Pelodiscus sinensis: one gene and its partners. The protein of the gene in region 4 interacts with the protein of the main gene of each other region in a biochemical or structural test. Links are inferred from orthologs where the notes say so. Each region holds a gene or a part of one and is shown on either strand. Other genes may lie near its edges. The genes, in order: PDGFRB, FGFR1, ITK and PLCG1.

What was found.
Region 1: the proteins of PLCG1 (region 4) and PDGFRB form a complex in vitro, tested with the Homo sapiens proteins (3 studies listed by BioGRID and IntAct, with this or other methods). The link is inferred for Pelodiscus sinensis from reciprocal best matches to the Homo sapiens genes PLCG1 and PDGFRB.
Region 2: the proteins of PLCG1 (region 4) and FGFR1 form a complex in vitro, tested with the Homo sapiens proteins (4 studies listed by BioGRID and IntAct, with this or other methods). The link is inferred for Pelodiscus sinensis from reciprocal best matches to the Homo sapiens genes PLCG1 and FGFR1.
Region 3: the proteins of PLCG1 (region 4) and ITK form a complex in vitro, tested with the Homo sapiens proteins (2 studies listed by BioGRID, with this or other methods). The link is inferred for Pelodiscus sinensis from reciprocal best matches to the Homo sapiens genes PLCG1 and ITK.

What each region holds. Positions count from the first base shown.
Region 1 is NC_134727.1:35,019,604-35,026,760, forward strand, and holds the start of PDGFRB (platelet-derived growth factor receptor beta), read right to left. Parts: upstream 3,019-7,157; 5' UTR 2,562-3,018; intron 1-2,561. UniProt on the Homo sapiens protein: Tyrosine-protein kinase that acts as a cell-surface receptor for homodimeric PDGFB and PDGFD and for heterodimers formed by PDGFA and PDGFB, and plays an essential role in the regulation of embryonic development, cell proliferation, survival, differentiation, chemotaxis and migration.
Region 2 is NC_134738.1:15,608,394-15,615,251, forward strand, and holds the start of FGFR1 (fibroblast growth factor receptor 1), read right to left. Parts: upstream 3,016-6,858; 5' UTR 2,883-3,015; intron 1-2,882. UniProt on the Homo sapiens protein: Tyrosine-protein kinase that acts as a cell-surface receptor for fibroblast growth factors and plays an essential role in the regulation of embryonic development, cell proliferation, differentiation and migration.
Region 3 is NC_134727.1:39,217,946-39,225,823, reverse strand, and holds the start of ITK (tyrosine-protein kinase ITK/TSK), read right to left. Parts: upstream 3,010-7,878; 5' UTR 2,846-3,009; coding exon 2,708-2,845; intron 1-2,707. UniProt on the Homo sapiens protein: Tyrosine kinase that plays an essential role in regulation of the adaptive immune response. Regulates the development, function and differentiation of conventional T-cells and nonconventional NKT-cells.
Region 4 is NC_134728.1:25,001,161-25,008,951, forward strand, and holds the start of PLCG1 (1-phosphatidylinositol 4,5-bisphosphate phosphodiesterase gamma-1), read right to left. Parts: upstream 3,009-7,791; 5' UTR 2,991-3,008; intron 2,757-2,990; exon of another isoform or gene 2,482-2,756; intron 2,476-2,481; exon of another isoform or gene 2,085-2,475; 5' UTR 1,932-2,084; coding exon 1,730-1,931; intron 1-1,729. UniProt on the Homo sapiens protein: Mediates the production of the second messenger molecules diacylglycerol (DAG) and inositol 1,4,5-trisphosphate (IP3). Plays an important role in the regulation of intracellular signaling cascades.

The DNA of each region.
Region 1 (7,157 bases), on a different chromosome or scaffold from region 4:
GGTTCGAATCAGCTGTTGAGGGGAGTAACGCGCCGGCGAGATCATGCTAATGAAGCGCGGGATATTTAAATCCCCGCTTCATTAGCAATTTTGGTCGCCTACATTTGCATCCCTAGCGCCAACGAGGGAGCAAGTGTAGACGTACCCTCAGAGGGCGGAGCTGTGTTAGTCTGTAACTGAAAAAAATCTAAAAACCAACAAAAAATCCTGCAGAACCTTAGAGACTAACAAAACATGTAGATGGTGTCATGAGCTTCCGTGGGCATAACCCACTTCTTCAGATGGCTGGAGTAAGGGGTCAAGGGTACAGATAAATAGCGGGGGGTGGGGGAGAGAAGAGGAGAGAAAAAGCTGCATCTTAGGCCATGGCCCATTCCACATGGCCCTGCTCCCCACGCCCCTTGGAAAGTCCCAGATTAATAGCCCTCTGATGTGACGCTGGACAGTAAACGCAGCTTCCTTCCCATCCATGCTGCCCACGGACTCCTGGCTCCTTCAGGACGCCCTGTCTCCTTCACAATCTCACTTTCAGACCATCCCAGCCCCCTTCTGGCCCTCCCTGGCACACCCAATAGCCTGACTCCACTGAGGTGGGGCTCAGCTTGAATCAGAGCCTAAAATATGTCCTTGCTCTGGCAGGGCCCCATCCGAGCCTTGATCCTACGGAGATGAGTGGCACTTGGCTGGGGAGCCAGGCTAGAATAGACTGAACTTGGTGGACGTTGATAAATAATATCTGCGAAGACGAAACTGCGAATCGCCCACACAAATGTGAAGAACGTGCTGTTGTATGGGTACAAGACCTGGCATACTACAAAGTCTTCACCTCACAAGCTACAGACATTCCTAGACAGACGCCTGCGGTCCATCCTTCACATCAGATGGCAAGACTGTGTCCCAAAGAAGAGCTTTGGAAAAGAGCAAGACAAGGACCACTGGACATTCAAATCAAGAGAAGAAAGTGGGGCTGGCGAGGCCACACTCAGAAAACCATCATCCAGCACAGTCCGGCAAGCTCTCACATAGAACCTGCAAGTAAAACGCGAAAGAGGAAGACCTCGGACAACATGGAGAAGATCGATTGAGATTGAAGGACAACAACTGGGGTACTCCTGGAGTCAGCTAGAAGTGTTGTCTCAAGATAGAGTGAAGTGGAGGAGACCTGTAGACGACCTATGCTCCCTCGGAGTGACAAGGGTTTAAGAAGAAGATCTAAGACCACACTTCAAAGCCTAATGCAGCCCTCTCCGTCCAGGTGTCATCCCTGCCCCAGTGTGGGGGAGTCCCAGGCTACTGCTTCTGGGGGTGCTGCCTCTCCTGCCGTGCCCCACCCATGTGACTTTGATTGACGGTATTTCAGTCTGGGACCCATTCAGACCCCAGCATCTCCATCCAGCAAAGCAGGCCCCTGGGGTGGTGTGACCTGAGCCCTGATCTCCAGGCAGGACTGAGCAAAGCCCCCTGCTCACATCCCAGAGAGCACTAACCAGCCATCCTGCTGGGACAGATGCGAAAGAGAAACCCAGGAGGTGAAAGGTTTCCTAGGTCACTGTCCCTCTCCTGCGTCCCCTCTCCCCCCTTGGCCTGCGGCAGAGGCATTTCTCAGCATTGTGTTCTCCTCTGATGGCCAGGTCCTGGAGAGATGCCCTGCAGCCTCCATCCCCGCCAACCCTTGGGATTGCTCCCTCTGCTTTTACCCAGATCAGTGTGGGCGGCCTGTGCCCAGGGCTCATCCCGGAGCCCAGCAGGGTGAGCTGTCCCTGGGCAGGACAGCCAGGGCTGTGACCAAGCTCAGAGGAGGGCGTGTGGTTACCAGCCCAGAAGCAGGAACGGGGAGAATTTCCTTCGGGCCCGATCCTGCAGCTTTTGCTCCGGTGGGGGGGGCCTGACTCGCACAAACCATGAGCCCCTGGCTCGCCCTGGGACCAGCCACCTGGCTGGATACGGAGGCAGGGGACGGACCTGCCCGGGGAAAAGCCGCCCCTGCTGCGTCACCAGCCCTGTCGGAGAGAACCAGCTGTCTGGCTTGGTAGCTCACTGTCTCCCCAGACCTTTCTGCACCATCCAGCGCCTTGGTATCCAGGGCCCAGCCCCTGCCCTGCTCGGGAATAGCCTAAGCCTCTCATGATTGTCCCAGGATCCCCATCCCCTTCCCCAGCTCCCTCAGAGCTAAGTCTCCCCCCAGGCCAAGCCTGTCAGCGGGAAGCCCCCACAGCTCTGCCCCTCTCCCAGGCCGGCCCAGCAGCACGCCAGGGCCCCTGCTCCCTGCCCCTCGCTTAGCTCCCAGGGCTGCGGTCCTGCCGTCCGGGCGCGCCCCGCAGCCGGGCGCTTGGCCGCGCATCTTAGGAGCGCAGCGGGGCCCGTGCGCGCATCCAGCTGCTGGCGGGGTTCGCTCGCTCGCTCGCTGCCAGGTCCCTTCGCCCTCCCCCGCCCGCCTCGACGCCGGCGGCTCCCGAGCTCGGCCCCCAGCAGAGCGGCCGTGACTCCCCCACCCCTCTCTCCAGCCCCCCGGGATTTCCAGCCCCCAGCGCGCAGCGGAGCTCGCGGGGCGCGCCACTTACCGTGCGCTGGGCTCGCTCGCTCGCCAGTCCCCAGCGGCGCCTCTCCCGCCTCCTTATCGCCGTCTGGGCAGCGTTCCCGGCCCGGCTCGGCCCGGCCCGGCTCCTCCCAGCGCCGCGCAGCCAGGAGCCGCCGCGGAGTCCCGAGGTGCCCTGGCTTTGCCTCTAGACGAGCATCGCAGAGGAGCCTGGAGCCTCGGCGGGCGCCCTGAAGTGCGCTGCGGAGACAGCCCCAGCGCGGCAGCGGGGGGGATACAATTGGGGGGGGGGGGAACTTGAGGGGGGAGCCCGTGTCCAATCGGCACAAGGCTGGAGCCGCCTTTCCCTTCTCCCCGCCTCCTTCCAGCTGGAGCTTTCTCCAAAACTTTCGATTCCAAACAAACCGAAGCAGGCTCTGAGGGGGAGTTTCGGTGAGAACCGGGGGCGGGAGAGGGGCTCGGAGCCCAGCTCCCGGCTCAAAGCCTCAGCAAAGCTGAGCGCAGCCCCCTGCCTTTCCTCCTTGGGCTGGAGGAGCCGCCTTGGGGGGCTGCTTCTTGCTGGCTCTCCCTGCTTTCAGTTCTGGCCTTTCGCCCTGCCCTGATTTCAAACCCCCCCCCCCTCCCATTTTTTCCCCTTTCTCAGGATATGAGGGGATGTTTAGAAAATCCACTGCCCACGCCAGCAGCTGACTCATGTTTTCATTAAAGAAGGCCTGTGTTAAAGGGACTGCACATATGCCCTCCCAGGCCTGATACAGCATCTCCAGCCCCTGTCCTGATCGCCTGGGCACAGATGCTGGCATGGACTCATAAGAGCGGCCATACTGGATCAGACCGAAATCCATCTAGCCCAGCATCCTGTCTTCAGACTGTGGCCAACACCAGGTGCCCCAGAGGGAGTGAACAGAACAGGGAATCAAGTGATCCATCCTGTCACCCATTTCCAGCCTCTGACAGAGGCAGGGACACCTTCCCTACACACTCTGGCTAATAAGTATTAATGGACCTAACCTCCATGAATCTATCTAGTTCTCTTTTTGAACTGTTGAAGTCCTAGTCTTCACAACATCCTCTGCCAACGAGTTCCACAGGCTGGCTGTGAGCTGCGTGAAGAAAAACTTCCTTTTGTTTGTTTTAAAACCTGCTACCTATTCATTTCATGTGGCGACCCCTAGTTCTTATGTTACGGGGACATGTAAATAACTTTCCCTTTTGTATAGACCCCTCTATCATATGCTCCCTTAGTCTCCTCTTTTTTAAGCTGAAAAGTCACAGCCTTTTTAATTTCTCTTCATATGGCACCTGCTCCAAACCCCTCAACATTTTTGTTGCCCTTTTCTGAACCTTTTCCAGTGCTAGGATATCTTTGGTGAGATAAGGCGACTACATCTGTACGGAGTATTCCTTTCTCTAGTGCAATGGTTCTCAAACTTCTCAACATAAACCTTTCCATGGACCACCAGCCAACCCCCCATGATGATGAAACGTGTGCATGAAAGGGTGGGAGTGCGGAGTCTGGCTAGAAAGTAGGATGCAGAAGAGGGCTGAGAGTGAATGGGTCTGGGTGGGAGGGGTGGGAATGAGGGGGATGGAGGTGCAGGATCTGGGCATGAGAAGGATGGGGGATGCTAACCTGGCTCTGTGTCTCCCACTGCTCCTAGGCACCGTCCTTCACTGCCCCTATTGGCTGTAATTCTGGCCAATGGGAGCAGCGGGGAAAGCCTCCAGCGGAGCCATTTCCTGTGCTGCTGTTCCCCCAGCCGGGAGGAGGAGCAGCAGCACACAGAGCCATTTACTTACCCCGCAAGCTGGATCCAGCCCACAAGGCTCACCCCGACCCCCTTGCAGTGGGAAGCCGGCGTGGGGCTGGAGCGCCAGCACAGGCTCACCGCTGCGGGAAGGAGGGGAGCTCCAAGCCTGTGCCCCCACCCCCCCGCAAAATGGAGAACCACTGCTTTAATGACTGCCTATGGACATTGCTTTCACAGCTTTGACCCGGCTGGTGCAAACAGACCCCTCCACCCAGAGCTTAATTTGTGCCCATGCTCAGCAGAGTTGAGCCCTGGCATCTCCTGGCTTGGCAGTTCATAGCCCCACAGTGGCACCGGAGCAATTTTTAGGGTGAGGGGTGATGAGTGAACCCCCTCCCCTTGGACCTGTTTGCGTCTCTCTGATAGTTGCAAACTCTCCCAGACCAGACTGACCGGACACCATTCACATCAATGGGGCAGGTGGCTGGGAGAATTGGCAATCCTAGCCTTAGGCTGCCCCCAGGCAGAGCCCCCCACCAGTGGCAGGACCCAGGGTGGGTATGGGGCATCCAGGGCTGGTGACCTGGACTCTAGGGCTAGCAGGGCCAGTCAGCTGAGGAGCCCATGGGTGCAAGACTGGTTGGCAATGGGATCTGAGGGCTGGTGGAACCCATGAGGCCAGTAGGTTGTGACGAAGTCAGTGGGGCTGGCTTGATCCTGGAGGCCTGGTGGGACTCCATGGGTGTGTCTAGACTACATGCCTCCGTCGACGGAGGCATGTAGTTTAGACGTACCCTATGAGGCCAGGAACAGGGACTGGCAAAGCAAGCGATGGATGGGCAGCAGGGCCAGCCCTCCGGGTGCAGGGAAGCTTGGTGCAAAACCTGGGGGTGCTGCAGCACCCCCTGCACTCCTATTTCCCATGCCTATCTAGCCCCAGCCCCCCTAGGTTTGCTACATCAGCCCTAGAATCTGCACTGGCTACAACCCTCTTGTGCAGTGGTTCTCAAGCTTTTTGGCCCATGGCCTACCCTGCTCAGCAGAGACCACCAGCCAACCACCCATCATGACAAAATGGGTGCAGGAAGGGGTAGGAGTGCAGGGTCTGGCCAGGAAGTAGGATGCAGGAGCAGGCTGAGGTTGCAGGGAGGAATTTGGGTGGGCAGTTGGGTGCAGGAGTGGGCTGAGGATGGAGGGGTCTTGGCAGGGGGTTGGGTGCAGGAGTGGGCCGAGAGTGTGGGGTCTTGACATACGACGGATAGGGGGCCCTTACCTGGCTCTGTGCCTCCCACTGCTCCCAAGCACCACCCCCTACTGCTCCCATTGACTATGATTCCGGCCAATGGGAGCAGTGGGGAAAGCCTCCAGGTGGGTGGTTTCCTGCATTGCCATTCCCCCAACGTAGGGGGAGGGGAGGGAGAGCAGCAACACACACAGCTGCTTCCTAACCCACAAGTTGGATCCAGTCCATGAGGCTTGCCCCTTTCCCCCCACAGCGGAAAGTTGGCACAAGGCTGGAGCCCCAAGCCCACGACCTACCTGCAAGACGGACACTTTGAGAACCACCGCGCTAATGTGGATGCAGTTATAGCTCTATGAAAGGTGCAAGGCTGAGTCATGCCTTGTCTACACACAAAGAGTTTGCTTGCGATAGCGAGCCTGGTATAGTGCAGATGCAGCTAATAGAGCCAGAAGAGCTCTAGTTTATACCAATTCCTCCAGCGGAATAGGCTACACTGGCAAATGGACATTTTTTACTGGTGTAACTTAATTTATGCGAGAGCTTCTGCTGCCACAGGTAAGCTGGCCAGGAGCGTGAGTATATTACAGGCCCATCAGCCCCAAGCCTGCCTGCTAGAAAAATTTGTTAGAGTAAAAGAGACCTCAGGTTCCTTTATGCTGGTATAATTTCATCCACACTAGGTCTATATCTACACTGGCGGGTTCTTGTGCAAGAACGGCCATTCTTCCGCAAAGCGTCCACGTGGGCCCCCTAGCTCTTGCGCAAGAAGATTTATAGTAAAGCGTGGGAAGAGAGGGCTTCTTGTGCAAGAGCTACGCTCTTTTCTAACAAGTGTAAGCTCTGTTGTGCAAGAGTTCTTGCTCAAGAGGGCAGTGTGGATGCGTGGCAGGGGTTTCTTGTGCAAGAAAGCCCTATAGCTAAAATGGTCATCAGTGCTTTCTTGAGAAAAAGAGCGTCCACACTGCCATGGGCGCTGTTGTGCAAAAGCACCTGGCAGTGTGGACGTGTTCTTGTGCAAGAGTTCTTGCACAAGAACCCTTGTGCATGATGTTCTTGTGCAAGAACCCGCCAGTGTAAACATAGCCTAGGGGTACGTCTACACTGCAGAGTTTTTCTGGAAAAACGGCTGTTTTTCTGGAAAAGCAATACTCATATCCACACTGCTAGTGCGTTCCTTCAGCAGAAAGGGGGAAAAATCACTCCCCTAAAAACCTGTCGCAGCCCCCACCTAAGAGCTGCTGTGTGTACAAGAGAGAGTCATCACTTAATAGCTGGTTAGGGGTGTGTGTTTATAATAGAGCTGGCTAATCATTTGTGAGCCTTAACAGTTAGAGGCTGGCTATTTATCTCTCCTTTATCTCAGCAGTTTCTTCAGCTTTCCATTGATGAAAACCCAAGTACAGACTATTTATTCAGAGATCTCCTCTGGCTGCCAAGGGGAGGGGAGATCGGGGTGTGGGAACCCCCAGGCTGTTACCATACAATGGGGCTGCTGATTGTGCAGTATCTTGCACACAAGTGCTACTCCAGTGTGTCTCCCAGATAATGCAGTTGCAACAGCAGCCAGAGGTACAGGCTAGGGAGGAAAGATAGGAGAGCAGCTGAGATCTGGAAAGAGATAGAGGGA
Region 2 (6,858 bases), on a different chromosome or scaffold from region 4:
TTGGGGATTGTGTTTACAAGACAGTCCAGGTAACCATTAAGGCTAGAAACTTACTTAGAAACCCCCCAAAGCAGATAGTCCCATGTGTGCCGGGCTGGCAGAAAACCATCCCCTATCAGGAACGGCGCTCCTTGGCAGCATTCGCTCCTTGGCTTTTTCCACAATTATTCACTCAGCTCCAGAAACGTTCCAGCGTCTAACAAGGTGCATTTCAAAAATGCCAAGCCGTTTGTCACAGCAAAGGCATGCACAGCCCTTTCGCCTGGGGCCAGTTCTCTGCAGGAAGGGCCCATCTCCACCAGGCACTTTTACACCCACACGGCCACTCGGGTGCATGGGGCTCACCCCTCAATTTGCACCTGCGTCTCTCCACCAGGGCTCTTTGTACACACACCCCACACTCTTGTGGACACAAACTCCTGGAGGGGCTGGAATCCCTTGTAGCGTGGCGGTGCTGAGCGGAGCAGAGCGCCTGTGCGTACAGAAACCGTTGCAAGCCAGGCTGCCGCAGCTAGCTCCAGCAGGTAGACTTCATTTGGTACATTTTTAGCAGCACATTTTAAAATGAAACACCGCCCATTTGGAGCAGACAGCCTCGCAGCAGCACTATCAAGGGAACCTCCAGGAATTCCTTGCAGCTTTCTTTCAAGAGACTCACTGTGCTTGGTTGTCCACCCTTGGGCACTTACGGCCCATTAAATAAGGCCAGGCCTCAGGAAAGCAAGTCCCCACAAGCTCAGCCCCCAAGTGCAGCTGCAGGCAGCCTGAACGAGGAGTTTACTGCTAGCCGTTTCTCACTCTCGGCCAAGGCTAAAGAGAGGGCCAGATTTTGCTTCCTGGAGCTCAGTGGTGTTGCAGGAGGGAGGACAGAGCACCACTGACATGTTTTAGACTTGCTAACAAACCCCCTAACATATGGGACAGTATTTACAGAAGGATCCCCTTAACGAGACCCTCCAGCTGGAGCCTCCCCATACGACCAATACAGGCTCCAAAAAACTTCCGCTGCAGCAGGGAGAAATATGTAAATAAGATATTAGTCGGCATGAGAAACCCAGGCAGGCACCTGCATCCCAGCACACTGCATGACTGCACAAATCAGGACCCATCTGGGATTCCAAACCATTAGCAGGAACTGGGAAACCGTAACTCCAGGCATCTGAAGAAGTGGGCGGTGCCCACGAAAGCTCATGATCCCAGCTCCATGTTTTGTTAGTCTAGAAAGCGCTACCAGACCATTTGTTGTTTTTTTCTGTAACAGACTAACTCTGCTACCCCCTGCAGCCGGGAAACCACACGGCCATGTTATGGGGATGCTTTTCTATCAGCCCCAAATCTAGAAGAGGAAAGCGAGGAGGGGGAGCTTTCGGCTAGCTCGTCTCAGATGAGCCAGGTATTAGGAACCCCCCATTCCTCGGACCTTCAGCTCTGCAGAGTGCATCTCCCGAGGGAGAGCGCAAGGAAACGCCGAGTGCGTCTCGAGAAAGCGCTATTCCATTACAGAGACAAAATCAACAGGCTGGAAACCCGAGGAATGTTTCCAGCGCAGAAGAGATTTCCCTCCCCCGCTAAACTTTGTACCTTAAGAAGCGTTTTTGGCTCAGGAAGCCCGCGGCTGTGAACGCGCAGGCCTCGTTTTATGGGTTAAGGCAGCGCTCGTAGGGTCTCCGGTGTTGGGCTTCCGAGAGGAAACAGCAAATCGCAGCGAGACGAACCCTGACACGGCCCCTCCGCACTGCTCACATCCCAGCGTTTCCATGGGAGAAGGGGAAAAGCAACGCCCGACGGTGAGGCAGCGTCCTCGGGGGAGCAGCCCATCCAAGCCAGGCCGAGGGGAACTGGTGGCAAGGCTCCGACTCTGCCCACGCTATCCCGGGAGTGTGCTAGTCAGCCAGGAATGTCCTAGCCCCTGGCCCTAGGCTCCCTGAATCAGCCAGGCCCGCCCAGCCCGGCGCAATAATCAATACGATCAACAGTCACCAGGTGCCAACTAGGCAGAAAGTTCACACAAGGTCAAGGAGCCCCCCCCCCCGAAACCAGCCAGCCGCCTGCACCTCAGGGCTCCTGCCCAGCCCCACAGCCGGGACTCCCAAGCCACCTTCCCCCAGGGCCTGGCGGAAACCCCCCTGCTGCGCCTCCAGTGCCAAGGGAGAACTGAAAAGGGTGGGAAATGCCCAGTCCTGCCCACGCCCTCCGGGGAGCCGGCTCGGGCAGGGCAGGGCAGGCAGGCTCCAGGACCCGGGCCTTTGGCCTGACCCCCGTGGCCTTAGGGCCCCCTCCCCAGGCCTGACTGCAGCGGGCGGCTCCCCGTGGGGAGGGCTAAGCGCTGGCGGCCGGGCCAGACCAGGCATCGCACGGGGGGTCCTGCCAGCTCACATCCGCCCTCGGCCGGGCTGGGGCGCCCTGCGCGGCACGGCGGGGCTGGAGGAGGGGGCCGGACACACCGGCGCGGGGCCCGATCCCGCAGGCGGCGGTGGGACGCGACTGTTCCCCGCATCGGGCCCCGCGCCAGGGGCGCTGCGAGCTCTGCCCAGCCCCGCGCCGGACGCCCCGGGCACCTGGCCCCAGCCTCGGCCGGGGAAGCTGCGGCTGCTTTCCCGGGGCCCAGGCAGGCGGGGGCGGGAGCCAGGGGTCGCATTCCAGCCTCCCCCGCCCCCCGGACACTGAACCTCCCGCGGTGAGGGGGCGGGCCGGGCTCCGGCTGCCCAGGGTGCTCCCCGCAGCATTTCACGCCCCCCCTCCAGGCTCACTCCGCTGCCCCGCCCCCCGGAGGCGCCCCCCCCCAAAGTTTGGGGAAAGTTTTCTCGCAGCCGCGATGGCGCCTCCCGGGCCAGGGGGCGGGTGGGAGGCCTCGTGGGGCGCCCCCCGCCCCGGGTACTCACCGCTTCGGCGGGGTCCAGTGGCGGAGCCGCCGCCCCAGGCGGGGCCGGTCCCGCTCGGGGCCCCCGGAGCTGCCGCGAAGCCGCGATCCCCGGCGGCTGGGAACAAAAGGCGCCGAGCCGGGGCCCAGGCGCGCAGCCCTGCCGAGCTGCCCCGGCTCACCGCCCCGGCTCCATCGCGCCGCGGGGCCCCGAGCGCGGGAGATCCGGGCAGGGGCTCGGGCCCCGGGGGAGACACGAGGGGCCCCGACCCCCCGGGAGCTGGGAGCCCAGGGGCCCGGGCGCGCTGCGGTGGCTGCGGGGCGCGCTGCGGGTCGGCTCCGTGCGCTTGGCTGCTGCCCGGTCCCCAGTGCGCGCTGCGGAGCAGGGCTGCGTCCCTCCCTCCTGCCCGCCCAGCCCCTCCTCCGCCCCCCGCCGCCGCCTGCCTTCTCCCCGGCTCCTCCTCCTCCGCTGCCCGCCAGCGACCTGCCCGTCCCGTGGGGGAAGGACTCTCTCGCCGCGCCCGGCCCCGGCTTCTCGGCACAGAGCGGAGCTGGGAGGCTGCTCCGAGCGCTGGCGGGATGGGCGCGCTCCGAAATGCAGCTGCATGGAGCTTGGGGCTGCGGGGCTCCAAGCGGGAAAGTCTCCCCCCCCCCGCCCGCAGAGCTTTGCCTTGGCCCCCCCGGTTTGCAATGTATTTGCCCACAAAACAAACCCACCACCGAGGGGGGGGGTTCTGACCCTGGTGATTTGTGAGGGTTATGGCCGCTCTCAGAGTCCCCAGGATCCGGGCCCGTTTGATTAGGTTAGACAGGTTGGACCTCCCTGGTCCGGCCCGGGTCTGACGGGGATTTCCTTGGACCAGGGTTGGTTCCCTCCCGCTGCTGGCCTCCCAGCCTGCTGCCCCTCCCGGCTGCTGGCAGGGGGATCTCCAGATGCCACTGGTGGAAATCCCTTGCTGTGGGGATCTGAGCTGGGAATCCCCAGTTGCTGGCCCTGCTGGGGACCCCCAGGGAGGGCTGGAGCTCTCTGGTGCAGCAATATCTGAGTCCTGCGGGACTACGGATGTGGCTGAACCGGAGAGTCCCAGACTTGAGAGACGGAACCTGTAGTCCGATAGGAATTAAGGCCAGTGTTTGCCCCGCCGAGTTCACAGTCTAAGGCCCCATCTTGCAATGGACTGGAGGGAGGCAGCCAGGGCTCGGCCAGCGTGGGCTGCCAGACACACAGTCACGGACGTGCAACAAATAAACGAACCCAGCAACAGCCATGCAGCGTGTCGGAAGAGCACAGTGTTGCCAACTCTTGCCGCATGATAATCTCCTGATACTTGTGTGATTGTTAAAGCCCAGCTGCTATGCTCAAGAGATCAATCTCAGATTTCTTTCTTTCTGTCTATTTTAGGTAAGTTTTCTAGCCCTTGTGGTTGGAGGATAAAGTTTGAAAAAGGCTCAGAGAAGGCCAAACGGATTTTCCTTTTGCAGTCTCTGGATTTCCAAGCCAGTTCATGATTATTTAGGCCTTGACGCATGATTTTTGAGCCCTGACGGATGATACTGACGGATACCCTCCAACACACACGCTCCCTACCCCTCTGGTTGTTAATTCGTGCAAACTGCCTGAAGCTTTCCGGAGTGAAATAACAAACAGTAACAAAAGGAGAGAGAAATCCGAGGCACAGGCTCAGGGAAAATCGGATTTTATTGTGGCTACTTTGTTTTCCAGTAGAAAGTCCCTCTGAATTAATATCCCGACCCTGTCATGGACTAGCTGAGTTCCTCTTTCCTACGTTTGATACTTCCAGCTCACAAACATCTTGGTTTGATTATGTGCCGCCTAAGAAAGACCAGGAGTGATCAGACCCTTATGCGGTGAGGGCACTGCATGGATCTGACCACAGGATCAGGCCCGAAATCCTCAAGTTTCAGAGTTTGCTTTCATGTGCAAGAGCTGCCTGATGGCTTCCCGTCAGATTTTTTTTGCCTTTTGCTCTTGATAGACAAAAACATGCCAAACTCACTGCTATTATCTGGGGGTTCTGTTGGCTTGAACAATCTATTCGAGGTTTGTCCTCTTGGCATATTTGTATCCATCAAAAGCTATAGGCAAATGTTTTTCTTAGTTACTGCATAGATAGGCAAATGTAGTCCCCTAGTGCATACGTGGCCTGGCTTGTGGACGTGATGAGCACCCACAGTGCCCTCTGAAAATCCAACCCATATCTTCCCGCTCTGATGGGCTTTGACAGGATTTGTCAGACCCAAAGCATCTGGACCACAAACCACAGAGCAATCCAAAACCAGCAGACAGCTGACTTCACTTCCCCCATCTGTCTCAGGTGAACCCTGCTGCGAGGGCCAGCCGAGAAACAGGGTGCAAGTTCTAAGCTGGGAACCCTTTGGGAACATCTCTGCAGGCAAAGGCAGCAATCCAACTTGGGGATTTCTGGAGGCCTCTGACACCAGCTCGGCCAGGAGGTAGCTGCAGGGGGAGTGGAATGCTCCGTCTATTGTCATGCAAATTAATCTGCCCCAAACCCTACTTGGCTTCAAAATTCCTAGGTCCAGTAGCAAGCAGCTTCTGGCGGGGTGCTCCCAGGCGAATGCAGGTTTGATTTAAGGGGCCTAGCGAGGGAGGGAGTCTGGGTGAGTCTCCAGAGAGGTCCGGCCCGGAATGAAGACATCTCCTGGCTCACTGTGGAAGACAATGTGTAAATGATTAAGTTATGAAGTGAAACAAGACAGGCTGAATTAGATCCATCAGTCACCACGGCGATATCTGAACCAAATGCCAGGCATCCGTCTTTACAACGAGAGCAGCCCCTTACCAGCACAGGCAGTGGCTCCGGTTGGGATGCCAGTGGGTTTTGCCAGGGTGATCGATAGATATTGGTGGATGCGAGGGAAGCGACCTTTCCTCTAGGACTCTCCTATCCCTGCGGGGTGTTGCTACGGATCACGTCCGTTCAGGGCATGGGGTTGTGCAGCTCTCGCTAGCTCAGTCATCAGATATGGGCTGGAGGCAGGAATCAAGGTGCAAAGTTCTCTGCTCCATGTTCTGCAGGAGAACAGATTGGATGGTCACCGTGATCTCCAGGCGTTACATTCGGTGGCTCCATGACTAGGTTATGGTGGGGAGCTGTGACATACCGATCTCCGATCTCCCTGGAGCTGTGGTTCGGCCTCGCCGGCTTGCCGCCTTTCCCAGAGCACCCCGCTACCTCTCTGCTCAGGGTTCCTCGCTGGTCTCAGGGCCACACACCCAGGCGCTGAGCTGGGTCAAAACACCGGTGGGCAGGAGCCGTTTGTTGTTTGTTTTGCTTTCAAAGCTGCATTTTTTCTACCCTGATTTTGTCTGTTTCCGTTTGGCGGCAGACGGGCTCTTTACAGCCAAGGGAGGAGAGTGCCCGGAGCTTGGCTCTGCTACCAGGATCCCAAGGGACGAGAGCGCCAGAGCTCAGTTCGGTGCGTCCACACTGCGGGAAGGAAGCCCAGGCATGGAATCTCAGGTTCTGGGACCCTCCCCCGCACTGGACTGCAGAACAGCCAAACAGCCCCCTTGCAATTTGAGCCCACCGAGTCAGCTGCCGCAGGCCATGCCTGGGTGTTTTCCTGCCAGCCCTCCCCCAGCCTCTGTCCCTTCTGGCAGGAGCCAGGTTCAAGAGCTCTCCCGGGGCTGCTGACAAGGGCCATGGCGGAGCTGGAGTGCCGGGAAAACTCCTCTTGGTCTCCGGGGCCTGCCCACCCCGGGGCCTGCTCTGGAGAGAGGCAGGCAGGAGCGCAGGCCCCCTCCCCCGGTCGGATGCTCTGACTTGCATTTGACTCTTCTTGCAGCAGCAGCCCCAGTGGCCTGCCCAGTCCCAGGTCCTTTGTCCCGTCCTCACGCCCGGACATGGCTCTGCCTGCTTTGCTCTCAGCCTTGTCCCCTCCCTGCCAGGGGAGGCAGTGGGGGAGGGCTCGCACCTCCCGGCTATTGTTCCTCCAGAGGGGTTTCTGCCTGC
Region 3 (7,878 bases), on a different chromosome or scaffold from region 4:
GGTGCATGGTAAGGCCAGAGAAAGGAATGAACTAACACAGTCGATCTTTGGGCCAGGTTTGTAGAGATGTTAAATCTCTGCTCATATGCACCACCAGAGGGTTACAATGGACATCCAAAGAGACCCTCACATTGAGTTCAGAAGACTGGGAAACCATCATGTCAAGCCAGGGTGCTAAAGCCACATTTTCCTACCGCCGGTGAAAAGTAGTGGTGGTGTCGGCCCGGCCCTTGGAAGACTCAGGAGACAAGCGAAGACCAAAAGGGTGGGTAGCATGAGCCACCTTCTCAGCCCTAGAGCTTGTCCCACCAGATTGGAGACCAATGAGGCAATGCCGAAGCCTGCACAGAATTACCTGCTCTGACTGTCATAGATAAGCAAAAGAGTTCATACTTCAGGGCTAACTGGTCCTTATCTGCACTCCTATCTTCATTTTGCACCAGGGAGGTTTATTAATATAATGGACCTGCTAAGACGATTTACACTGGCACAAACCCAATGCTACACAGTGGAGTATCAGGTCCTACAGTTACTGGTATAGCTGTGTGCATGTTGTATATACCTGCCTCCAGGAGACAAACCTAGTGATAGACAATGGCCAACTGTGTCCAGTTCTTTACACCACATTTCAGGAAAGATGGAGAAATTTGAGAGGATCCAGAGAAGAGCAACAAAAATTATGAAAGATCTATGAGCTATGAGGGAGGACTGAAAGAATTGGGTTTGTTTAGAGAAAAGAGAAGACCGAGAGGGGACATGATAGCAATTTTCAAGTACCTAAAATGGTGTTACAAGGAGGAGAGAGAAAAATTGTTTCCCTTGGCCTCTGCTGATAGGACAAGAAGCAATGGGCTTAAACTGCAACAAGGGAGGTTGAGGTTGGACATAGCGAAAAAGTTCCTAACTGTCGGGGTGGTTAAACACTGGAATAAATTGCCTAGGGAGGTTGTGGAATCTCCATCGCTGGAGATAGTTAAGAGCAGGTTAGACAGACACCTGCCAGGGATGAGCTAGATGGTGCTTGGTCCTGTTGTGAGGGCAGGGGACTGGACTTGATGACCTCTCAAGGTCCCTTCCAGTTCTAGGGTTCTAACTCCTCAGCTAGTCTAACTCACTTACTTCAGGGGACAGTGTTATTGACTTAAATGAAGCTATGACAAGTTACTCCGCCGTTGCTCTGGTTCGGCACATTTACATTTGAGGTAAAAGAAGCACGTCCGCTGTGCATGCCAAATACGCTGCAATTATCTTGGCACACTCCGATGTTTGTAAATGGTACAAGGACATATTTTGACAAGTTTGCTTAGATATGTAGCTTGTTACGGCCCTATACGTCGTCCCATTTTTGCCTCATTAGGATTTAGGGCACAAGGGGGTATAATTTTCTAGAGCACTGAAGTGACTTTCACGCTGCTGTCCTGTTCAAAGTCCGTGGGTTTGATGTTCAAAGGTATTTAGGTGTCTCCAAATGCAGATAAATGCCGAATGGGGTTTTCAAAAGTGCCAAGCCAGGTTATGTGCCTGTTAAAGGGAGCTAGGCACCAAAGTAAAGCACATAGAGGGATTTTGAAGAACACCTATCTGCAACTTTTGGCAACTAAATGTCTTTGAAAATCAGACCCAGAGAGACTTAGGTTCCTAAATCAATTAGGCACTTGTGAAAATTGTTCCCATTCTTACTAGGCTACGTAGTTGTATTAACATCTTAACTCTTCAAATGACGACATTTGGACCACAGAATAGACACTCTCAGTCAAACTGAAAATATACATCTTGGATTGCAATAATATATTTTAAAAAATTTAAATATAGTATTTAAAATAAACCACATGCATTTTATGGTGCCTGAATGGATTCTTACAAATTCAAAAGAAACATGGCAGTGCAACTGGAGAGAAACAACACTTACAAGCAGCAATACACCCTTAAAGTCGTGTATTGATGTCCCTGTTTGTAGACCCTGGCAAACAAACTGAGTAAGGTTACAACGGGTGGCTCCAGCCAGTTGTGTGCTTCCATATGCACAAAAGGAGACACGATGGGAGTTTTGCTTTGATAAAAGCACCCATAAAAGGTTGCTAACACACATTAGCTTCTAATTCTTTTCATAGTTTCAGGGCTAGGCATCTGAGATGTGCTTAGTCTGAGTGCATCTGAATATCAGACCCCCTCCTACAGCCTACTCCCCGAAACAACTGACCCCGTTAGAACCTGACCTCGAGAGTTTTGATTAACAAACATGGAGTCCGTCATGCAGAGAACCATCCTTCTACTGGAGCTGAGTGTCTGCCCAGTTCCAATTTGTTTGGTCTGATTTTCTATATGCAATTAAAACGTATGGCGAGAATCCCTGTTACCCAACTTTATAACTTTGATCAAAACATGCCCCGAGCTACAGCACTATCCATTTGAATTGCCTAGTACACAGTCAGTTAGGCATCTTGGAGGGAGGCAGGTATTCAGACCGCGCTACGTTTCTTTGCTCAAACCAGGTTTGATCCTCCATTCCTTCGACACGCCAAACCGCCACTGACCTATGGGGAAGTTTTGGGTGGGCACAGAATGCCATGGAGGGCCCTCCACCAGTAGCTAGTTTAAGTAGATGTTGGGCGCATGGGATTTCACAGCATACACTGTTCCCCCCTCCCGTTCAATACTCTCGACTCACGAGCCTGCAAAAAAACGAGAGAGAAAATGGCTCACGTACCCCATGGCGATGCTCAAAATAAGCCAGCTTGGATTTGGTTAAAACGAAGAAGCGCACTTTGAAGTTGGAGGGAGAGGTCCGTCTCTTCTGCTGGGATTTTTTGATCAGCTGCTCTTCCAGGAGAACACAATTATTCATGGTTCGGCAGGGCACGGCGCTCCTCCCGGACCCCGCACGCCGGTCCCAGACCCGCACTCCAAGCACAAGTCCAGAAAAGAGAAACAAGAAAGAGGGCAGTTGATTTTTTCAACAAAAAAAAGGTGTTTGAAAGGCAGCGTAGGTGCACAAAGCCTTATCTTTCCGTCTGTCATCTAGGCAGCACTGTAGCGCTTCCTTTCTGTCAAAACCGTAACCACATCCTCTCCCAAGTCATCAAGTGAACAGCACATGCTGAAAAATACTCTACGGCGAATGTTGTGGAAAAAATGAAAATGTGATGGGCGCTCTTGACAAATGTGATTTTTCTGTAAAGGCTCGGGGATTAATTAAAAGTTGTGGCATGATTACATAATGGCCCACTCAACCCGCTCTTAGCAAATATAGGGATGTCTGCTCAGGGTGGACTCGGATATAACGAAACAGCATCTTTTTCGTGCTTTGGGGAGGATTTCATACATCCACGTTCCTTGTACAGACGGGTGGTATGGTCTGTGTTACCTCCAGCCTATCTCTCACCTCATGCACTGTACTTAGTGTCATTTGTTTGACGTACAGGTTGAACCTCTGAAATCCGGCACTCTCTGGTCCAGTGCCCGAGAGCCTTCACTAGGCCATGAGCCAGGAGTACAACCCAGGCCAGCCCGGCAGGGAACGCAGCCCCATCCGAGGCTGGGAGCAGAGCCCAGTGATCGGGGCTAGCATTCCAGAGGGTCTGATGGCTGGGAAGGGAGCCTTGACCTCCCTAGTCCGGAAAACTCCCTGGTTCGGAACCTGAGGGTGCCGGACCAAGGAAGTCCAACCTATATTTCAAAGACACGTAGCATGTAACTACAAAGACTCTGACGTGTAGGCATTGACAAATTGCAGATCCGAGCAATTAAAAGCTGGTGTATAAATGAAGTTACATTCATTATATGTGTTATGAGATGCCATACCAATGAAGTTTATTTATATCTTTTCAATATTGTCATTAATGATTATTCATACTAATAACACGGAGCTCTTTTGTAGTGCGTTTTGTCAGTAGATGGCAAAGCGCTTTGGGGAAACTGAGGCAGGGGGCGTCGCAATGACATAACTGCTTACTAATTGCTGAATGTTCCAGATGTGGCCGGGTGGAAGGCAGTCTGTGGGTGAATGTTCCAAGAAAGTGTAGGCAGAATATACATGCTCTAGGTGTATCAAAGTCCATGTAATCTGTGGCAAAGGTACACCTAAATGCTATATCAAGAGCTGTTCATTTCTGTAGCACTGCACTGTGGCTGGACTGGAAAATCGGTGGCAGTTTGAGGTGAATTTAAAGAAAAAGTGAAAGGTTTTGTTACATTAATGTGGAAGTGACTAATACAATCAGTACAACATCCACTGTTTTATTTGACATTAATTGCAATTAATTTTACTCTGCCTCTGAATTTAACTCTGAATTAGGGCTGTGGGATAAGCACTGTGCTGGTTGCTCTTGGCCATTATTTGCCTGTAGATCATTTGAGCAATGCTCACTTTTAAAATGGCACCATTAGGTTCCAGAGTTAATACCAAATTGTGATGAATGGGGAAAGTTCATACCTCTCTTTGAGCTATTCTTTTAGGGTATGTCTACACTATCCTCCTAGTTCGAACTAGGGAGGCTAATGGAGGCATTCGAAGTTGCAAATGAAGCCCAGGATTTAAATGTCCCGGGCTTTATTTGCATCTTCCCGTCTGGGCGCCATTTTTAAATCTCATTAGTCCAAACTAACTGCCTGCGGCTACACGCAGCAGTCAAACGTTAACTCGAACTAACTCCTTAGTTCGAGTTAACGTTAAGTCCTTAGTTCGAATTAATGTTTGACTGCCGTGTGTAGCCGCGGGCAGTTAGTTCGGACTAAGGGGATTTAAAAATGGCACCCAGATGGGAAGATGCAAATAAAGCCCAGGATATTTAAATCCAGGGCTTCATTTGCAACTTCGAATGCCTACATTAGCCTCCCTAGTTCGAACTGGGGCGGTAGTGTAGACATACCCTTAGGCTGTCTGCAAACTCCAGAGGCAATGTTATTTAATGTATGTGCAGAATCAGCACTGATATAAAGGGTGAATTTCATGTCAGGCGCCGAGACAGAAATCAAGGGCCAAATGTTCAGTTTGATTTGCAACGTGGTGCATCTCACACAACTGCACCCCTGCTTTATAGGTGTAAATACCTGCCTGCGTGTTACAGAGTTGTAATGCTTATGCAAAGGCAAGGGTTCAAACTGCTTATTTTGGTGTTTGTGCCTGCAGAGTATATGCCCATAATGTATCATACACCCATATGTAGCAGAGTCTGAAATGTACCCCCAAGGTTTTCTGTCATTTAGGTGTAACGCCGACAGCTGGAACCGAAACTGGGACCTCTGGAGCTTAGAGTATGACCCTCTACAGCAGGCGTGGCAATAATGTTCGTAAGGGGGCCACTTAATGCATGGTCATGGGCTGGCTCCACCCCCAGATGGGGCGGGGCCTGAGGTGGAGGGGGCGGGGCTGGGGACTAGCCCCCAGAGTTATCTGGGCTGGGGGCATTGAATTAAAAACACAGCAAAGGGCTTGTGGCTCTATCCTCTGCCGAGGTAGCACCCCAAGTGGGAGCCGGGAGCCATTTAAATAGGATCCTGCTGCCTGAGCTGCCTCCTGGACGTTTGGTGGCCCAGGCAGCAGGAGATAAATAGAAAGCAGCCAGATGCAGCCCACGGCCGGATTGAAGTGTGAGGTGGGCTGGATTTGGCCTCCAGGCCGCATCTTGTCCAGCCCTGTTCTACAGCCTGAGCTAAAAACCGGCTGACTCTCAGCTAAGGCTGTAGAGAACTAGGACTGGCGGACATGACCGCTTGGGAACTGTTACTGGCTTTGGGCCGGGTTCTGTTCTCATGGGTGTTTTAGCTCCAGTAACCTCACTGGACCGTCTCCTGATTTCCACAGGCAGCCTAAGATCAGAACCAGGCCTCCCATGCCCGGAGGTGCCATAACGCGGCTAGCTCTGATTACTTATTGGCCTCGTTTCGAATTTGTTTCCGGCCAGGCCCCACCACATACGAGATGCGGTCCTGACAGGCCGGGAGGAACATCCATGAGGCGCATCATGCTCTGACTGCAGAGAGAGAAGAGCGAGAAGTAGAAATCTGGCTTCCTTTGAAAAATGACTGTGAGGGACAGCTAGAGGCACGGTTGTCAGTGGCCAAAGTGGATCTTCAAGAAGGACTCCCATGTGGGCGGGGCAGGGGCCTGGAAGAGAAGGCCCACCTCGGCCGGCAGAAGAAGAGGCGAGAAGCTGATAAACAGGCAGCTGAGGGGAATAACACCGGAGGAGCGGGGAGGATGTGGGGGGCGAAGTGACGAGGGTGGTAGATGGGGAGGGCAGACGTGTTTTCAAAGCTTGATTCTGGTGCGATAAGAGCTGGGGCGTCAGTGAGCGATTGGAAGAGAGGGGCGATGAGATCATGTCTGCAGGCAGGCTGGCAGCCGCAGCTTGCATGGTGTAAATAGGCCGGCTTTGGATGGCCCAAAGAGGGAGATAGTGCCAGACCCAAGGGGGTTGAGGGAAGGTCCGAAGTGGGGGCTTGGCTAAGGGTATGGGAGGGAAAATAATGGAGACGCTGAGGAGGAGGAGATGCCAGATTTGGATACGGCCTGGATCTGGAGGAAAGGGAGGCAAAATGAACCCCAAGAGTCATAGAACCCTGGACGTGGTAGGGATCTCGCGTCCAGTCCCCTGCTCTCCCGGCAGGACCAAGCACTGTCTAGATCAGTGGTCACCAACCAGTCGATCGGGATCTACTGGTAGATCTTGGAGCTCAGACAGGGGATCCTGACTGGTTTGGCTTTCAAGCGTTGTCACGTCACTTACGCCTCCCCACGCGGTCACGGTGCCCTCTGTCTTGGAGCTGCCCCCCCGGCAGCCTCCCGCTTGGTGTGGAGAGAGAAGGGGGGGGCGCTGGTGTCAGGATGTCCCTCCTCCCTCCACTCCTGTACCCTATCTCCACACAGTCAGACGGGGATGGAGGGAGCTTGACGATGCAAATCTGTCACTCTCACACCCTGTGTGCGTCTGTCGTTCTCACACACGCACACCATCCTTCCCTCTCCTCTCCCGGCCCAACACACAGGCGGGGGGTTGTTACTGCTCGCAAAGGGGGATAGTTTCGGTGTTTGACTGGTCGGTGCATTTCATCATTTTCATTTCTCTCTCACACGCCGGTGTAATTCTTGGAGCAGCGAGTTCTCAAATGCCGAACCTGCCCTGGCTGGAGTCCCTATCCCCGTGGGAACAGCTGCTCCTGGACGGGGCTGGCATGTGGAGCAGGGGGTCTCCGCATGGTGGCCTGGCCTGCGGACACCGCCCTTGCAGCTCCCGTTGGTCCGTAATGGGGAACCGGGGCCAGTAGAAGCTGTGGGCTCCGTGCCTGTAGATGGGGGCAGCGCATGGCTCCATGGAGTCACTGCTGCACGTGCCAGCTGCTTTGGGGAGCAGTGCAGGGCCGGGGCGGGAGTGAGCCGCCTTAGCCCTGCTGCTCCACCACGTGGAAGCCGTCTCAGTGAAACGGTGCCCAGCCAGAGCCTGCTTCCTGAACCCCTGCCCCCAGCCCCTGCCCCTGAACCCCCTCCTGCCCCCAACCTCCTGCCCCAGACGTGAGTCCCCCTGCACCCAAACTGCTTCCCAGAGCTTGCCCCCTGGATCCCCTCCTGGGCCCCAATCCCCCACCCTGGGCTAAGCCGGGAGCCCCCCCCCATACTCCAAACCCCTTGGCCAGGGTGGGCCCGAGCCATTCTTGCGCCCCGGGCGTGCGGCACCTCATTGGTGTGTACAGGGCGCCGCGCCCCCAGGCATGCATGGCCCCGCCCTGGGCGGCAACTTATGGGGGGCACCTGATGCGGCATCTCTTACCACTTCAATCAGGCGCCCCCATAGGTTGGCGCCCGGGCAGCTGCCCGGCTAGCCCCCCCTTAATCCGGCCCTGCCCTGGGCCCGTGACCAGAGCCTGCACCCCAACCCCCTA
Region 4 (7,791 bases):
GTGCTACATGTGAAAACAGAAGATTTTATTGGATTGCCTTCTGTAAAGATTTTTTACAGAGCTTAGCTATCCCTCTGATACAGAGGTGCTGTCAGTAAAGATATCAAGAGAATCACAGACTTCAGTCTTATCCTAAGTCTCTGCAGTCATTAACCAAGATGAAAGTTAAATATCACCCAGCTTTCTAGAGTGCTATCTAATTTCTACAGCACCCATCACCATAGTATCTAAACACTATTAAAACCACTATTTACTTATGATCCATGCGAACTGATCAAATAGCAGATGGTTAGCTTATGGACAGAAATGTGTCAGACTGCAGAAACCAGATATCCTATTAATGATCAAGCTCTGGTTCAGGAAGGAGACAGGAGAGAACTGCTCTTCTTGAGAAATCAATGTCGATGCTCAATTTGTACTAAAAACATGGCAGGGACACAGATACAAAAAGGACGCACCCCTGATTTTAGACCCAGCCTATCCTATTTTTATGGGAACCAACTTGATACCAAATGACAGTCCCTACTAATAATGCATATCAGACTACTAGCCATATTAGTATTTTACAATTTAGCTAGTACAGTTTATGAGAGGATTACAACATATCAATCCATCACGCAGTTAGTTGTGTCAACATCTGCTTATGTACCTGCAAGTGAGAGAAATTAGGCACTAATAGCTTATCTGGCAGATAAGCGTTCTTGTTTTGCAGATTATCATCAAGCTCCAGGAAAATGAAAAGCAGCAGAGGAGTCACTACCCACAATGTTAATTTTTCAACTGTATCTGGCACAGAAATCCATCTCTCCAGCCATCCACTGCTTCAGGTATGACCTCACTGCAGTAATCAAAATCAGGGCTGGACCTACCAACTCTGTCCATAACTTTAAATACCAGAGTAAACAAAGCAACCAACTACTTCATGGCTTTAAGATAAAAATTAGGTCTGCAGACAGTCAAGAATTTCCATGTAACTGGCTAGACTACTGTCCTCTTAAGCAGGCATGGATAATAAAAGGAGTTTGTATCTACATGCAGCACAGCTCCCACTCAATCAACACACAAATCAAAGATGGTAGGATATATGGGCAAGGGAATACAACTTGCTAAAAGTGGAGCAAGAGTTAAAAATCCAATCACTCTCCAAAGGCTTCAGCCGTTTTTGGATCATTCGCTTTTGCAAGTAAAACACAAAAACTTCACTGTAATTTCTCTCTCTTCTCTCCCCCACCCCCATCTCCCGCGCATGCATGCACAGGTACTCAAGACCATGAGAACCTAGATACATTAAATTACAGTAGCAAGAATGGATAAAAATACTTTTAGTTTTTTTTAAAATCCCGAGGAAACAGGAAATCTATTTTTCCTCTTACGTTATGCTGCAATTTTAGGAGGTGGGGCAGGAGACAGGCAAAATAAGAAGGGCCAAAACAGATTGTCAGATAATCAAGACAGATGCACTTGCAATTCCACTCTCAGATCAGTAATGTAAATGGGGGGGGGGGGAGGAGAGAGAGAACAGCAGGCATTTTTTAAAATGGATATTTCTTTAGGACAACTTCCACTGCTGTATCTAGTTCCCAGGGCGCCTCACTTACACCGAACGCAGCCCGCCTCCGGCCCATGCCAAGCGCCAGGCACCCGCAGGCTCCTAAGCCCTGCTCCGAAAGAGGAACGAGACGCAGCCAGGGTTAGCCGTTTAAAGAGAAGAAGGATCCAGGCAACTTACTCGCCCCTTCGACCTTCTCCGAGCCCCGGCTCCAAGTGATCTGCCGCGTTTCGAGCTTCACCTGGAAAGTTTTCCTCTCCGGCCGCTGGGATTTTTTGGAGTAAAACAAAGTCATGACGGTGCCCACTTCCAGGCTCCGGCAGAGGTGCACCACCTCCGCTTCGCTCGGGACGCCGGGACCATTGGAAAAGGCAGACGCCATGACGCCCTCCGCCGCCTCCTTCCCCGAATGCGGCGAAATCTCCAAACAAAAGGGAACTGCCGCCCTCCACGCTCCCCGCTGGTGGGACTCAGCGCGCAAACAATCCCCGCCGCTGCTTCAGTGCATGGCGCCGCGGGGCAGGGCTCTCCCTTCCTACGGGGGGAAGGGTGTTTTACTGGGGGGGAGGCTAGAAGGGCAAACGCACAACCCGCTCCCGTCCCCCGCTCCCGGCTCTTCGCACTCCGCCGAGCCGCAGAAACTCGCCCCTCTCCCGCTCCGAATCATGCACCATATTTGTTCTCCTTCCCGAGCGGGCTCCAAAGCGAAAGCGGGCGGGCACGAAGCATTCCCCGGCCCCGCGGCTTGCAGAGCGCGCCCGGGGGAAGGACCCTCGGGCTGCCTTGCGCTGTGGGGCCCTCGCTTACAGTCCGTCCCCCCCGCACGAGCTCGCTTTCCCCCGCAGCTGGCGGCTCGCCCCCTGCCGCGGCCGGAGCCGGATCAGCTCTCCCGAGAGCTCGGGAAGAAAGGACTGAAGCAGCCAGCAGCCTGCCTCTTTCACCCTCCGGGGCTCTTCCGCGCCAGCCGCAGCGGGGATTACTCCGGCCCCTCCTGCTCCCGGCACGTGCATTAGGAAAAGGAGGCCCCCTCCTCCCTCCCTTTGCCAGCAGAGCCGGGAATGGAGCTTCCGCGGGGCAGAGCGCGGATCAATGGTGCGCGCTGTCAGGCCGCGGGTTTTCCGCCCCTGCGGGCTCACGTGCCCCCTAGGGCAGTGCCATATGGCGAGCGCGCAGAGGCGACGGTCGCTCCTCTCTCCCTTAGCCCGCCCCCTCCCAGCCTTCGTGTAAAACAAAGCAGAGCGGAGGAGCCAGCGAGCAGCTTCTTAAAGGGACCAGGCCCTTTCCCTCCGCCCCCCGCCGGTTACCTCGTCTTGGGTGGGGGTCTCCGCTTCCTGCCGCCTCCACAGAGGGGCGCTTCTAGCGGGAGAGGCCTGGCTGGGGATCCGCTATCTCACACACATCCGGGAGGGGCATGCAAGTGAGAGGCTGGAGGGGAACCCACCTGTAGGGCTGGGAGAAAGGGAGAAGGAAAGCGGTCCCCAGTCCAAATGGGCTCTGGGAAAGCGCCCCCTTTCCCTCTGCACAGTCACATAGACAGCCAGTCAACGAGGTGCTGCTCAGGGCTAGTGGCAGTCTGGCAGGGGGGATGCCTCCTTCTCTGCTCACGCCAGCCCCATGGCTTGGCTCCCAGGCTGGCTCTGCTCCTCCAGCTGCAGAACAAGGCTGTGTCCTCCTACGTCATCGTGCTGGCACACACACCTCACCCGCCAGGGCTGAAGGAAGACCAGGGAGTTGAGAAAGTGGACAATTGGATCAGGACCTATTACTGGGTCCCCAAACAGGGATACCTAATGCCAGCTATCTGGGGACGAGCACAGCAGAGCCCCCCCTGCAAGCCACATGCACATGCAGCAGCTTCTAGGGCTGGTGCATGAAGACCTTCCCTGTCAGGGCTTCTCCCACATATTGTGACATTCACACGGCTCCCCACTGGTGTGTTCTTCCACGCTCTAGGAGGATGATGAGGTCATAACAAAGAATCCCTCTGGGCTGAACATGAGCATGAGACTACCTTTGTGTTAGGCTAGCAGGACAGCAGCTCTGAGGAGATTCAGGGCAGGGGGCCCTGGAGTTCGATGGACAAGGGGCAAATGGGCAAACTGAGAAGGGAAAGGCCTGAACTCACCCACCAGGTCAGTGGCCAAGCCAGGAAAAGATCAAGAATTCCTGATCTCCCATCTAGTGCCCTTACCAGTAACTGCACTGAAAGTGGCACTGGTCTGGGAGGCAGGAGGTCTGTGTTATCATCATTGGTATTATAGTAGCACGTAGAGGCCCTAATTCACGCTAGGGCCCCATTGTGCCAGGGGCTGCACAAATGCACGGTAAGGGGCAGTCCCTGCCCTGAGGAGCTCCCAAAACAAGACAAAGTGTGAGAGGAAAGTGACACCAGCTCCATTTGACTAACAGGGAACAGCAAGACAAAGAAATTAAGCCTCAGATGCTCAAAGGTATTTAGGTGCCTGACTCCCATTGGTGGCTAGCCCACCATTGATATCAATGGGAGTTAGGACCCTAAACACCAATGAGCCTCAGTGGCTTGGCCCCCAGCATAGAGAGAGTCTGGGGCAGAGGAGGGACTGAATGCAGCTCTTCTGAAGCACAGACAAGTCCCTTAATCAAGAGCCCATCCTGTCTGTCTGTCTTTTCCCCTCCACCTGTGTCCACTAACCCCAAACCGGACACAGCTTCCTTTGCCGGTCTGCTCCATGCCATAATGTTTCGTGCAGAGGAGAGAGCAGCTGTCCTCTTCATGCCAGGTTTGTGTTAGCATCCGCTCGTGCCAGGCCAATTGTGCAGTGCTACATCCTCATTCAGGCCAGTGGCAGGAAATTAAACAAAGCGAGGCTTAGTGTGGGGATAAACAGTTGCTTTAGAAAGTATTTAAGGGCTGTTTGCCACTTTCATTCTTTGGAAGCCCCCTGACTTCCCTTGTCCTCCTCAACCCCAAATCAGCCAGACACAACACGGTGACACTGGGGCAGGGCAGGGCAAGTTTTCATCAGTCCTGGTGGGGTTTTAAGGATATATCAGCTTTTTGCTCTCATTAAATTGGTTAACAGCTGATTCCTAACAGCATTTGCATAACCAGCACAGGGAATGCTAATAATGCACACACTTTTTAAGCAGTAATTGGTAAGAATTACTGTGGTCCAGTTTTAAAGGCTGGTCTATCTTTTGCTCCTTACACAAGAAAATAAACAGCATTGGCACCGTGGGAGTCCACATCACCCTGTCTACTTGAGGCCAGGCCTAGCTATATACATACTGCTGCTCCGACTGAGTCCTACAACATAGAACACAAGAGGGCTCACTACTATTTAAAAGAAACAAAATACAGGACTATGTAGCACTTTAAAGACTAACAAGATGGTTTATTAGATGATGAGCTTTCGTGGGCCAGACCCACTTCCTCAGATCAAATAGTGGAAGAAAATAATCACAGCCATATATACCAAAGGATACAATTTAAAAAATGAACACATATGAAAAGGACAAATCACATTTCAGAACAGAAGGAGGATGCGGGGGAGGGGGAAAGGAAGGTGAATGCCTGTGAGTTAATGATAGAGGTGGGGAAGGGTAGATGTCTGTGAGTTAATAGTATTAGCTATTATATAATTGGGGAAGCTATCTTTGTAATGGGTAAGATAGCTGGAGTCTTTGTTCAGCCCCCCGCGGAGAGTGTAGAATTTTAGCATGAATGCCAGTTCAGAGGATTCTCTTTCAAGTACAGATTTGAATGTCTTCTGAAGTAGGATGCAGGTGAGCAACCAGACAACTCTCCAAATGTGATTTGTCCTTTTCATATGTGTTCATTTTTTTAATTGTATCCTTTGGTATATATGGCTGTGACTATTTTCTTCCTCTTCTATTTGATCTGAGGAAGTGGGTCTGGCCCACGAAAGCTCATCATCTAATAAACCATCTTGTTAGTCTTTAAAGTGCTACATAGTCCTGTATTTTGTTTCAGCTACACCAGACTAACACAGCTACATTTCTATCACTATTCTACTATTTAAAAGGATATTCCCCAGTTACTATACTTCACAGCGGTGGTGTCCACCATGCTAGCCACATGTGGCTATTTGGCCAGCTGAGTGTGGCTAGTTTGCTATAGCAGTAGCCACTGTAGTGACAACTGCTTCAGAACTGGTTGGACACCATGGCTGCGTCTAGACTGGCAAGTTTTTGCGCAAAAATTTGCCAGCTGTCTACACTGGCCACTTGATTTTGCACAAAAGCACTGATGTTCTACTGTCTGAAATCAGTGCTTCTTGCGCAAATGCTTTGACATTCCCGTTTGGGCAAAAGACCTTTTCCGGAAATGTTTTTGCGCAAGAGGGCCAGTGTAGACAGCTAAAAACTGTTTTGCGCAAAAAAGCCCCAATGGCGAAAATGGCAAGCCGGGCTTTCTTGCGCAAAACCGCGTCTAAAAAACTGCTTTTGCGGAAAAGCGTCCGTGCCAATCTAGACGCTCTTTTCTGCAAACGCTTTTAATGGAAAAACTTTTCCGTTAAAAGCATTTGTGGAAAATCGTGCCAGTCTAGATGTAGCCCACGGCTGTACAGAGACAGGGAAGGAAAAGCCAATGAGGTTAAGGGCCTGCCCCTACTAAAATAACTAGGAAATGTTGCCCTTCATTGCACTGCAAGTACAATCAAAGCTTAGTATGATGTGCCAAATATGGGAGAGGAATTGGTTCCCAATGCCAGGTTTGAAATTCCTAGGATTCCTGGCACCCAGATCTGTGCTCAGATCACTAACCCAGGCTTTATGCAGTACGGCCCTGTTTCAGCACGCCGCAGCTTGTCATTAATGTCTCTCCCAAACCTTTACTAGCATAACAAAAATACAAATCCTGCCCTTCCCATTTTGATAGGGAGGGACAGCCTTGGGTAAACACAACTGGCGCGGTTCTGCTGGGGCACAAAGGTGCAGAAAGTCCTAACTGCGTGTGGTTCTGAAGCACAACTCCACGGAAACCGACTATGAACCACAACTGCTGAGATACGCCAGCACATGCTTGAGCTACCACAGTACTGAGGCTGCAGAGCAGCAATGCTGCTACTCCCTGGCCTATGGGCAGATCTTTTCCCTATCAGCCCACACAGGGAATTCCTTCTTCCAGATGGGGTACTGAGAGCAGGTGCACAAAAGTCAGCCTGACTGTGGCAGGAGCATTCTCCAGAGTATCTCCATGTGAAACATTATCCAGTTGCCATGTGCAATCATGATATTTGCATGTGCAGTTAGGCATGCATTTTGCACATGCAGCTATCAGGAATTCTGCATGGGTTGTTGTTTTTTAAAACATGCTGTTCATTGGCAAAAGAGAGAGTTTCTATTTACAGTCACAAAGTCAAATGTGACATGAAATTACCTGCACTGGTGTGTGAGGAAAAGGAGTAAGCAGCCGGATAAAACAGAGGTGCTTTGTACAAATCTTCAATGTACAATGGTCTCAAAATGTTCCATTTGGGATTCAGACCTGGGGGAGGCAATGGTGTAAATGTGAACTACTTGATGAACTGGCCCCAGGAGGGCTCGGCCCCAGGATTTTCTTCACCCAAAGCATGAACTGCTAGTTCTTGAGTTAAAGAGCAAAATCCCCTCAGTTGGCAGCAGTAACAGAGCCATTACCCTCTTCTGTGGACAGTTGCCTTCCCAACATCAAACCAGAGACAGCAGATTAAAAACCTCAAACTTGCTTTCTGGAAGGCTGCAACGTAACAGCCGTTAGTTCCTACATTCCAGAACCGTAACGCACACGAAGCAAAGCAGGCAGAGAGGCACTGGTCACCCCACTTTACTTCTGGCTGGCTCTCTGCAGCCTGGCTGCACAGTGCGTGCACACTAAAACCCAGGCTGCTTACTTCCTGACAGAGCCCCCTGCCCTGTAAGTAGGACCAGGAAACCCCTTCCTTGAAATGATAGCTTGTAGTTGTCAACACAGTTTTCAGTTCACCATCTGGACCAGCCATCCAGTCTCCTAGTGCTGATTAGCCCCTTTGTATTTGCTCCAGGACACCTGTCTAGTCTGTTCTCCGAAACTGAGTGGGTTTGGAGTAGGCGATCGCTCACTGGCATTGCACATGTGGGGGTCCCAGCACAAATGACAAAGCTGTGCTACCCCAGCTGGGATACCAGGCAACAACAACAGCTCTTCTGAGGCAGCTGGCTCTAACTTCTAGGCAACACTTCTACCTCGTACAAATGTTGGGGACTTGGTGAATCTGGAA